Oryctolagus cuniculus: one gene and its partners. The main gene of each other region encodes a partner of the protein of the gene in region 2 in a complex. Links are inferred from orthologs where the notes say so. Each region holds a gene or a part of one and is shown on either strand. Other genes may lie near its edges.

Region 1 (3,644 bases), on a different chromosome or scaffold from region 2:
CGGGCAAGCCCATCTTCTCTGGAAACTTCAGTTCACCGTTCTCAGACAGCATCTGAGCGCTTCCCTGATTGAGCCCGTTCTCCTGCTCGGCGTACCTGTGTCTGCTGCCCGCCAGGCTGTCGGTCTTTGAGCGCTTCAGCAGGACACTGGCAGCATCTGCGGGCTGGCCCTTTTTAACAGAGCCATTCTTGGCGTTCTTGAGGGTGAGCGAGATGCAGACGTCACCTACTGAGAGTCTGGAACACGGCAGATCAAAGAGCTGGCTGGTTCTCTCCGGGCAGCAGGACGACCAGCCCTGTCCAAACACAAAAAAAGGATACTCGACCAAGACTTCCACGCTGACCTGTGGGAACAGGGAGAGACAGAGAGGCAGACAGGAGGGAAACCAGTGAGAGCTCTGTATGATTTCCTTCCTTCCCTTCCTTCCCTTCCTTCCCTTCCTTCCCTTCCTTCCCTTCCTTCCCTTCCTTCCCTTCCTTCCCTTCCTTCCCTTCCTTCCCTTCCTTCCCTTCCTTCCCTTCCTTCCCTTCCTTCCCTTCCTTCCCTTCCTTCCCTTCCTTCCTTCCTTCCTTCCTTCCTTCCTTCCTTCCTTCCTTCCTTCCTTCCTTCCTTCCTTCCTCCCCCACTCACACACACACACACAGGCTGCATGTTAATAAATTAGACTCCACTAACAAACTTCCCTTCCCTAGCAACACAACACAATGAGGCCCTTTGCTGCCTGTTGTATCTGCGTTTACTACATAGAGAAGCTGGGCAGGAGCCAATGCAGAAAACGGTCCAGTGAAAAGGTCCATTCAGTATCCAAATACTTCACTTAGCATTAGCTCTATCCCTGGTCTCTGTTAAAACAAGTCAGCTGGGGGTCAGCATTGTGGTACAGCAGGGTTCAGCCGCCGGTGGCAATGCTGGGCTCTCATAGGAGCACGAGTGTGTGGGCTGGTGGCTCTGCTTCCAATCCTGCTCCATGCCAGAGGTGGGGCTACAAGGAGACATTTAAGTATCACAAACAAAGGCAAGGAGAGGGTACGGGATGGGTATTTGCAAAATAGCCAAAGTCTGAAAGGCACCCGATGCTTTTAAGAGTTTAATTCTCATGAAATTAAATTTATTCAACATTATAAAAAATTTAGAGAGAGAGCAATGAAGTAGTTTAAAAAGTCAATTTTCAATGGCTGTTTGAGATGTATTAGACTAGGCAATTTTGGAACAAGCTTCCTACTAAGGAAAACTGGAAGCTGTCAACAACAACAACAAAAATACCATAAAAACAACAAAATTAAAAATTCTGAAGAAAATGTTAAAAAGCATTTTTATCAGGGCCAGTGTTGTGGTGTTGATGCCAGCATGCCATGTTGGTGCCAGTATGAGTCCCAGCTGCTCCACTTCTGATCCAACTCCCTGCTAATGGCCTAGAAAAAGCAGTGGAGGGTGGATCAAGGGTTCAGGCCCCTGCCACCCATTTGGGAGACCCAGAAGAAGCTCCTGGCTTCAGCCTGGCTCAGCCCCAGCCATTGCAGCCATCTCAGGAGTGAACCAGCAGATGACGATCTGTCTGTCTCTCACTCTCTCTGTGTAACTTTCAAGCAAATAAATAAATGAATAAATAATTAAAAAAACACTGTTTAAAGGCACTGGACAGAAATAAGACAGTAAAAAACTTAACTGTGTCAAACCAGAAAAGGATATGATAGCCCACAGATTTGAACCTGGTGGTGTTCCAAGCCAACTTTGAATATTTCAAAGTAGAGCAGTTATAAGATTAAGTGGGCTTCTGGGAATCTCAATAGCATTTTGTGTGTGTGTGTAATGCAGTGCAGGGTACACCAAGGGACGGTGATCTTTGGTGAACCCCGCTTTTTTTTTAAGATTTATTTTATTTATTTGAAAGACAGAGTTACAGAGAGAGGTAGAGACAGAGAGAAAGTCTTCCATCTACTGGTTCACTCCCCAGATGCCCACAATGGCCAGAGCTGCGCCAATCTGAAGCCAGGAGCCAGGAGCCAGGAGCTTCTTCTGGGTCTCCAACTTGGGTGCAGGGGCCCAAGCACTTGGGCCATCCTCCACTGCTTTCCCAGGCCACAGCAGAGAGCTGGATTGGAAGTGGAGCAACCGGGACTAGAACTGGCGCCTATATGGGATGCCGGGCGCTTCAGGCCAGGACATTAACCCACTGTGCCACAGCACCGGCCCCGAACCCCGATTTTTAACCTCTGATCCCAAACACTATGCCTTAAAAGTAAGGGTGCATCAGAAGTGGATAGGCCTTCCAAGGTCTGAAGTCAAATCTTAATCATCTCAGTCTCTAACACTGGATTCAGCTCTTGAATTATTTCCACACTGTTGCAAATACTACATTACCATTCAATTTTGAAAAGGGAGGAAGAATGAGGAGACCAAGAGAGAAGCAAAACTAATAAAGACAAAACATCTGATCATAAGAACAGACCCACAGGGGCTTCTGGTAATCACCAGAGACTTAAAAATGACCCTGCTTACAATATTTCAGGAGATGAAACACAAGCTTGAGGAGTGGGGAGAAAACTAGAATCTTAATTTTTTAAATGATATATTTATTTATTTGAAAGGCAGAGAGAGAGAGAGAGAAAGAGAAAGAAAGAGAGAGAGAGGTCTTCTATCCATCTACTGGTTCACACCCCCAGATGGCTGCAATGGCTGGAGCTGGGCCAATCTGAAGCCAGGAGCTTCTTCCAGGTTTCCCACGGGGGTGCAGGGGACCAAGAACTTGGACCATCTTCCATTGCTTTCCCAAGGCCATAGCAGAGAGCTGGATCGGAAGTGGAGCAGCCGGGACTTGAACTGGCATCCATACAGGATGCCGGCACTGCAGCCAGCGGCTTTACCCGTTATGCCTGCCCCAAGTCTAATTTATTTTTAAAATATTTCTGGACACTCTAGAATGAAAGCACTATATTCACTAAGATCAAGATAATTTTCCAGCTGAATAGACACAGTTGAAGAAAGAATTAGTGAACTGGGTTCTGTAATTGGATTCTGAACTAGATTAAGAGCTTTAGAAGAAACTACAAAAAATGAATCAAAGGTACAAAAAAAGGGGGGGGGCTAATTCAGAGGAGAGCCTAAGAGACAGAAGATACATTGAGAAGGTCTAATAGATGCACAATTTGAATCCTAGGAGGAAAGAGAACTAATACTTGAATTTTCCCAGACTAACAAGAGGGAAGTCACAAACTCAAGAAGACTTAGCCCCAAGAAAGAAGAGTGAGGAAATATCCTCACCCAAGCAGGTTATAGTTAAACTGCTCTAAGCCAGAGACAGGAAAGAAAAATCTTAAAAGCCTCCAGATCAAACAGACATTACCTCAAATCAGTAACAATTACATTCACACTCTCCGTCAACAAAAATAATGGGAGCCGGAAGACAATGGAATATCTTTAAAGTGCTGAGGTAACAGAGTTGCCAATCAAGCATTCTATACAGAGCACAAAGCTTCTTCAAGAATGAAGGCAAAATAAAGACGTTTCAGACAAACAGTAATTAAGGGAACTCACCAGCAACAGAACTGCTCTACAGAAAATACTAGAGTAAGCTTTCAGAAGGAAAAAAAAAAAAACCCACAAAGAATCTAGAGAGAGGTTTGTAGATGCAGGGAGAAATGAAG
Region 2 (3,744 bases):
TAAAATGCAGGGACTCGGGTATGGGATGTGGGCGACGCGACGGCTTAGCGTCTGCCCCTGGACCCTCCCGGTGCGTTTCAACCTTCCCCAGACCCAGCATCTACACAATGTGCAGTGTGAGCTAAAAATTCCCCTCAACCCCAGGGCCACCCAGGACGAAGTGGGAACGGGCTTCTAGAATGATGTAAATTAGTAACAGTAGTAGGATACGGATACGCTACAGAGTACGGACTATGGAATAGCACAGGTGGCAGCATAACACTGCTTCCTAGCGTGAACTACTATGCACAGTGAAGCTTCCACAGTCTCAAGGCGTCTCCTCCGTGGACAGTGTTTCCTCGTGGGTAGTGTGAAGGGCTCGCCACACTCACTGAACCCCCTTGGCCGACTGACAGTTCCTCTATGGCTGCAGGCCACGGCCCGATCTCTCACCCGCGGACACTAGGGCCTGCGACAGGTCAGATGCATTTTCTTCAGCACTGGTACAAATCTCGGGCAGACACAGCCCTGGGAGCCCATCACGGACGAAGAGAAACCTCGCGACCGGTGCACCAGGCTGCGGGCAGCCCAGGTCCAGGGCAAGTCCAGTGCGCACCGCACGCACGGGTGCCCTGTGGACGTGTAGACCCCGTGCGTGGGCAGCACGGATCTACTACTAACAGGACATATCCCTCCCCTCCGTATCCACAGTGTGACACTCCCACCCCCGGCTTAAAAAAATCTCCTTCCTCGCGGGTGTAAACACCCACCAAGTGTCGCTCTCCACGGAGGGCCGTGGGAAGTCAGTCCTCTATCTCGGACCCGAGAGGGCGGTCGGCAAACTGCGCCGTCCCGAAAGTCAAAGTCTTGGAGAAGGTGACTTGGCCCCAGGGTCCCCCAGCCCCAGGCCGCACGCGCTGCGGCGCGCGCCACCCCACTAGTGCGCGTCCTCTCCCCTCCCGGTGGCAACAGAGCTTTCCGCGGGGCCGCGCCAGACTTTTCGAGACCCTTGATTGGTCGTGGACCAGGCCGCCGACAGCCAATCAAGCGGGGGAAAGGTGACATCACTGGTTCTCCTCCCCTCCCCCCACCGCAAACTTCCCTACTCTGCTACCGGCAGCAACAACCACGTGGGGGAGGGGTAAGAGAGTAGAACCGGTGAGGTCATTGCGCCGCCCCAGCCACTGCTGATTGGCTGCGGGGTTCGAGGGTGGCGGTTGGTTGCTCCTCGCACCTCCCCCTCGTGCCGCTACCGCCGCCGCCGAGAGGAGCCACTGGCGACGCCAGAGCCAGGAATCCGGGTGAGTTGGGGCCCTGGGTCTAAGATGCTCTTGGTGTCCAGTAACACTCAGTAGGAACTGCCCTTTCCGACTTTTTCTCCTCGCCTGGGCTCTTTGGTGCTCCAGGCACTCTGTCACATGGGAGTTGTAGTCTGCCTAGTATTGTCGACTATGGGCCAGAGACGTGAGAAGACTACGATTCCCAGCAGGAATTGCGACCAGCCGGTCAACAAACGCTCGGGCCACGCCTTCTGAGCCTGCTCATTGGAGGGATCTTTGCTTATCCCCGCCTTCCTTTATTTCATTGGCTACTGTCCCTCTCAGGGGCCGGGTTCCGGCCTATGGAGCATGACGACTGGGTACTGTATTCGTCGTTTACCACTAAGACAGTCTGCAATTGGTCTACGCTGATGTCCATCACTTGTTGTGGGGCAGGGCCCTAGGCAGATCAGGCGGTCGTAGGCTCAGGTTGGTGTCGGTCCGGAGGGAGGCTGGTCTTGGATTTTGGCCCCTCCCCTTAGCGCTGCCCGTTGGGCGCGATTGGTTGCTGTGAACGTCGCTCGTCGCCGAGAGGCGGAGTCAGTCAGGTTGCGAAAATCTATTGGCCTAGGCTGGCGCCGGTCAGCGGGGTTGTGGCCGCTGATTGGCTGGTTACTCCAGCTGTTGCAGGTCCATTCACCATTTTGTGTGTTGGAGTAAAAAAAAAAGGGAGAATCGAGAGGGAGAGCCGGAGGGGGGGCGGGGAGGGACCGGACCGGACCGAGCCGGGGCCAGGGCCCCCGGCCCCGAAACCCCGCTGAGCCCGAGGTGAGGGGCGGGGCCAGGGCTGACACAGCAGGGGGTTGAGGGGGGCTGGGGGCCGAGGGGGGACAGGTGGCAGGGACTGGGAGGAGGGACAGGGGGAAAGGGGTGAGCGGAATGGTGGGAAGGGGAGAAGGAGTGGAGGAAGTGGAGGGGGGAGGGTGATGGCAAAGGTGACTGGGGGACGGGGTGGTGGGCAGAGGACAGGTAACAGGAGTGGAGGGGTGACAGGACTAGATAAGGGTGACAGGGAGAGGGAGGGGACAGAGTTGGAGGGGGTGACAAGGAGAGGTGATGGGGGGAGAAGGTGACAGGTCCAGAGATGGCTGACAGGAGAGTGACTGAGAGTACTAGGAGACAGAGATAAATGGGGGTGGCAAGCAGAGGTGAGAGAGGAGGGGGCCTAGGGTCTGTGAGGAGAGAGGTGGAGGTAGAGGTGGTGACAGGATGAGAGACAGAGTGGCAGAGAGGCTGGTTCCAGTAGGGCTGGTGGGAGCAGAGGGCACAAGACCCCAGAGGGCCAGGGCCTGGGCTGGCCTGGGCTTGAAGAGGGACTGCTGAGATCCTGAGGGAGGTGAGGGCCCACGGGGCCTTGGGGCTGGGGGCGTCCTCCAGAGAGAGGTGGGCAGAGAGTAGGCCCCAGGGGAAGCAAAGAGGCTTGGCTTCTGAGGTGAGTTGGCTGGACCAGGCAGCAGGGTGCAGGGGTGCCCTGCAGTGTGGCTGTAGGCCCTGGGTGGGGTATGCAAAGGTTTGTGTTTGGGTAGGACTGGGGCCAGATCTCAGTCCCCCGGATGGTGACCCGGCAGCTCGGGGAGGCACTGATGGCTGCCCAACTCCCAGGGCACTCGGGGGGCAGCGTGGGGCCCTCCAGGCTCTGTCTGTGAGGGCCACGGGACTGGCCCAGAGAAGGGGCAGGCCTGGGACTGCAGGGTCCACGAGAACAGCAGGACCTGAGTGGAGGGCCTGAAGTTAGGGTCCCCGGAGAGCCCCAAGACAGAGTCGGGGTGCCTCTGGTCGTGTTGGATCCTGGTCCTAGCCCCCCGCCCCTCCTGGGGGCCCCGTCTTTGCCTCCCAGGTTCTCTTAGTCACTTCACAGTGAAGTTTTTTCCCCTTTTCTCAGGGCAACTTGAAAGGGGGCGGGCAGTAATGACTGTTCAGGAAGTGGGTGAGGTTGGCTGGCTGGGCTTGTCCTGCTTCCTTTGACCTTATCCCACTTATCCCCACCTGGAGTTGGAGGGCTTATGTGGGGGCCTGAGGGGGCTGGGACACTCAGCCACCCTGCCAGAGACAGCCCAGCCAGGGCGGGATACATGCAGGCCAGGAACGGGAGGCGGGGGAGAAGGGGGGGCTGGGCTTGCTGCTGTCGGGCTGGGTGCTGTGGGGGAGGGGCGGGCTCCCATCCAGGGGGACCGAGGAGCCCTGGGGTGCAGCTCTGTGTCCCGCTGTGTGATGACGTGTGTGCCAGTGTGTGTGTGTTTGTGCGCGTGCGTGCACTCATGCATGCCCCGTGGCAGTGCTGGGTGTGAGCTCTTGCACCAGACGTGCCCCTGCCTGCTCTCTGCCAGGATCTGGGGACAGGGTTGTACCTGGCAGGCCCGGGGTGCAGGGCAGAGTGGGCAGCCGTCTCTGAGGACTCTGAGCCTGGCCTCCCTTTACCACAGTGCCTGGCCGTGTCAGGCTGCCC
Region 3 (3,644 bases), on a different chromosome or scaffold from region 2:
AGCATAGTACAGATCCTAAGTTTTGTGTATGTGCCTGTTAGTAGATTTGTCAAGTTCTAGGTGGAAGTGTTGCTGAAATTCTGATTGTTTTCCCCAGTGAATTTGTGGTGTTCTTGGTTCTCAGTTCTGCCCCCATCCAGTAACATAGCTGCACAAGTAGATACCAGTGCGACTGAAGCCATAAAGAGGAAACCACTGTACTTGCTCTAACATTTGTGTACAAATTTACTGTTACTGATAGAGAGTTTTTGTTGCCACAAAGGTAAGCAGAGTTGGAAGTGAAAATACTGGCACAGAACTGAGCGTGTAAGTGCCAGCGAGGCAGAGGACGTCTTACTAGGACATTCCTGGCTTGAGGCCGACCTCGGCCCTCTGTCTCGTGGGCACTCTGAGCTCCTGCTTTCAGTCCCTCGGGTGCCATCAGCTGTCTTTCCAGCTGAGCTGACCGCTTCTGCTCTGTGTAGTCCCTCCTTAGATGCCCACAGCAAGAGCCACTTACTGTGGGAGTTGTGATTAGATCAACAATGATGCCGTTTCAGAGGAGGGAAAGTGCACAGTCAAGTCATAAAGGGGTTGCTTAATTTCTGCTATGTCATTGTCTTCAAAAAAGCTGGGGTAGATCCACGGCCTTAAATAGAAAACAAACCCTTTCAAAACAAATATAATCAAGTTCATGTTGGTAATGCTTCCTAATTATTTTTTTTTTAATTTATTTATTTGACAGTCATAGTTACAGACAGAGAGAAGGAGAGACAGAGAGAGAGGTGTTTTATCCGCTGGTTCACTCCCCAAATGGCCACAATAGCCTGAGCTGAGCCGATCCGAAGCCAGGAGCCCACAGCCTCTTCTGGGTCTCCCACTCGGGCACAGGAGCCCAAGGACTTGGGTCATCCTCCACTGCCCTCCCAGGCCATTGCAGAGAGCAGGATCAGAAGTGGAGCAGCCAGGACTCGAACCAGCGCCCATATGGGATGCCAGCACTGCAGGTGGTGGCTTTACACTGCGCCACAGCACTGGCCCCTCCTGAGCATTTTTTGAGGGAGGCTACTCAAAGCAGATTTTGCTGTATTATTGGCACTTTATATTGCCTCACCCAGAGCATCGTAATACCCAGAGCGTCTGTTTGCACAAATAATGTCACAAAAATAGAGGGGTTCTTGTGATGGTGATCTTTGTAATGTGATCTAAAAGCTAGGAAAAAGAAAACAGTTTTAATATCATTGATGGAAGAATCTATATACTGTCTGTAAGCTGACTATAAGCAAGCAACACTATGAGCTAGTTTTAAATATCCAAGACAGGATAAATGTTTGTAGCTTGCTACTGTGGTTTCAGAGGAAGATAACAGAAACATCTGGCTCTGCCAGGAGCTAGTAGCATGTTAAAATTACTCATGTGCTGGTCTCTGGCTGTTTTCCAAAGGATCATGCCTTTTATTTTTTTCTCTTCACAGAAACGATAGATAATTCCCAAGGAGCTTACCAAGAGGCATTTGATATAAGCAAGAAAGAGATGCAACCCACACACCCAATCCGCCTGGGGCTGGCTCTGAACTTTTCTGTATTTTACTATGAGATCCTTAATAACCCGGAGCTCGCCTGCACACTGGCTAAAACGGTAAGATGTGTGTTGATTTCTGGGTTTTCACTTGGATGCTCAGGGATGACTGCTTTCTGTTTATTGACCACCTGAAGGAAGCTAGAGATGAGAAGATGGGATGGCTGCCGGGTGTGGTCGTGGGAGTGGCTGTTTAGTGCATCCCTCAAAGCAGGAGAGTGATGAGGGCTTTTGCAAGTACCTGTTAGTTTTTACGGGAACACGTCTGTTCCCCGTTACTGCTGTATGGCCTGTGAAATGGGTGGTGAGTGTTTGGCCTGCTGATTCATCTGGTCTGGCCCTGACAAGGCAACCCCAGCAGGACTTAGTTTGGTGTATCTATAACAAGCTAATTGTTTCCAAGTTGATTATTTTGTATGGCCCACAGATTATGTCACAGAGCCCCTTGCCAGAAAAAGTTCCTCTACCCCTGCTGTAAGAACCAAGTCCCTGCTTATGAAGCCTGTAGCTCTGCAGTCGCGGGTCACGCTCCCGCAAGCTGTGAAAGTGAGAGTCCGGGGGAGTGATCCCACTGAGCTGGGTGTTCGCGGACAGTTCCTGTCCCTGTGCCGTTGTTGACCGTGGGTGTGGTTACTCCTCAGGCTTTTGACGAGGCCATTGCAGAGCTCGACACACTGAATGAAGACTCCTACAAAGACAGCACCCTCATCATGCAGTTGCTTAGAGACAATTTAACAGTGAGTCCTTTACTCTTCTCGTTTCATTTCCTTTCAGGAACAAAGACAGGTACATTTTGCAGAATGTAAGAGAATCTTTCGTATAAATAATTCTGGACCCCTGGTTTGGTAACTTTTTCTTTGACTAAATGGGATTTTTTTGTTTTTTTACATTAGCACTGTGTTCAGCTTCACTGGCCGGGAAGTTACGAAGGCTCTGCCCTCCTGCCCTCCTGTAGTTGTAAAGGCACAGAAGGATGCTGAGTGAGATAGTTTTGTAGAAAAGTAGAGAGAGGCAAAACTAGTTCTGACCAGATAGACTTCGGAGCTCTGGTCTTGTGTTGTTCTGTCTCTGGAGACAGCTCTTCAGGGAGTTTTGTTTGTTTCAGCATCTTAGCAATAACTTAAAGATTATGCAAGCCTTTCTAAAATTGGCAGTAGCATTTTGATGTTGGTCTAATAAAATCCAGCTTTTTAAACTGATTATACGTCAGTAAACATGGGCTACTCCCTTAGCTTTCCACCGTAACATCAGAGATAGCCTTACAGACAGTTGTCTTAGTTTTAACCTCCTAGTTTAAGAGGCCCTCCCCCATTTTTTAAGATTTATTTATTGAGAGGCAGATGTACAGACAGAGGGAGAGACAGAAAGGTCCTTCATCTACTGGGTCACTCCCCAAATGGCCACAACAGCCAGAGCTGACCTGATCCAAAGCCAGGAGCCAGGAGCTTCTTCAGGGTCTCCCACGTGGTGCAGGAACCTAAGCACTCGGGCCGTCTTCCACTGCTTTCCCAGGCCATAGCAGAGACTGGATTGGAAGAGGAGAAGCCGGGACATGAACTGGTGCCCGTATGGGATGCTGGCACCAAAGGCAGATGCTTAACCTGCTACACCACAGCGCCAGCCCCTGAAGAACCCTTTCTAAACACATAGATACATATGCTGTTCCCTAGCTTCTGCCACCCACTCTGTTTAGAGACCTTTTGAGCAACTCAAGGAATATTGTATTGTGTGTGTCATTTTGTAAAATGCATAGTGAAAGGGTATGCTTTCACGCTGTGAGAGGGGCCCCAGTCAAAGTCTCTATGTGAGGAATTTACTGCTCAGAATTATCGTCACAGGACATGGTGTACTTGTCTACATCGTAACGTCATATGGTTCTCTTTCTAGTTATGGACATCAGACAGTGCAGGAGAAGAATGTGATGCAGCAGAAGGGGCGGAAAACTAAATGGATACAGGGCGTCACCCTCCTTCCCTCCAAGAAACCTTTTTACACATCTCCATTCCTTCCTCCACTTGGATTTCCTATAGCAGAGAAGCCCGCTCATGTGTATGGAAGCAGCTGTTTATAGTCCTTTCACACGCAGC

The links. Proteins that work in one complex are often made in the same cells at the same time.
Region 1: the proteins of CIC (region 2) and ATXN1 are in contact, whole or in part, in an NMR structure (PDB 2M41), measured with the Homo sapiens proteins. The link is inferred for Oryctolagus cuniculus from reciprocal best matches to the Homo sapiens genes CIC and ATXN1. Residues at the interface, in NP_001291744.1 of Homo sapiens: Val943, Phe944, Pro945, Trp946, His947, Ser948, Leu949, Val950, Pro951, Phe952, Leu953, Ala954, Ser956, Gln957; in NP_000323.2 of Homo sapiens: Pro572, Tyr573, Phe574, Ser578, Ile579, Ile580, Gln581, Leu582, Ala583, Leu587, Val590, Leu593, Phe598, Ser601, Ala602, Leu608, Asp611, Ser613, Phe631, Val633, Ala638, Gln639, Val640, Val642, Tyr648, Pro649, Phe650, Phe651, Trp657, Ile683.
Region 3: the proteins of CIC (region 2) and YWHAQ are in contact, whole or in part, in a crystal structure (PDB 6KZG), measured with the Homo sapiens proteins. The link is inferred for Oryctolagus cuniculus from reciprocal best matches to the Homo sapiens genes CIC and YWHAQ. Residues at the interface, in NP_001291744.1 of Homo sapiens: Arg1207, Ser1208, Met1209, Ser1210, Glu1211, Thr1212, Gly1213, Thr1214; in NP_006817.1 of Homo sapiens: Lys49, Arg56, Lys120, Arg127, Tyr128, Gly169, Leu172, Asn173, Val176, Tyr179, Glu180, Leu216, Ile217, Leu220, Asp223, Asn224, Leu227, Trp228.

Annotation. Positions count from the first base shown.
Region 1 is NC_091436.1:143,606,319-143,609,962, forward strand, and holds part of ATXN1 (ataxin-1), read right to left. Parts: intron 344-3,644; coding exon 1-343. UniProt on the Homo sapiens protein: Chromatin-binding factor that repress Notch signaling in the absence of Notch intracellular domain by acting as a CBF1 corepressor. Binds to the HEY promoter and might assist, along with NCOR2, RBPJ-mediated repression. Binds RNA in vitro.
Region 2 is NC_091449.1:12,846,193-12,849,936, forward strand, and holds the start of CIC (protein capicua homolog), read left to right. Parts: upstream 1-1,134; 5' UTR 1,135-1,280; intron 1,281-1,930; exon of another isoform or gene 1,931-2,066; intron 2,067-3,744. UniProt on the Homo sapiens protein: Transcriptional repressor which plays a role in development of the central nervous system (CNS). In concert with ATXN1 and ATXN1L, involved in brain development.
Region 3 is NC_091433.1:192,537,602-192,541,245, forward strand, and holds part of YWHAQ (14-3-3 protein theta), read left to right. Parts: intron 1-1,453; coding exon 1,454-1,617; intron 1,618-2,198; coding exon 2,199-2,294; intron 2,295-3,444; coding exon 3,445-3,504; 3' UTR 3,505-3,644. UniProt on the Homo sapiens protein: Adapter protein implicated in the regulation of a large spectrum of both general and specialized signaling pathways. Binds to a large number of partners, usually by recognition of a phosphoserine or phosphothreonine motif.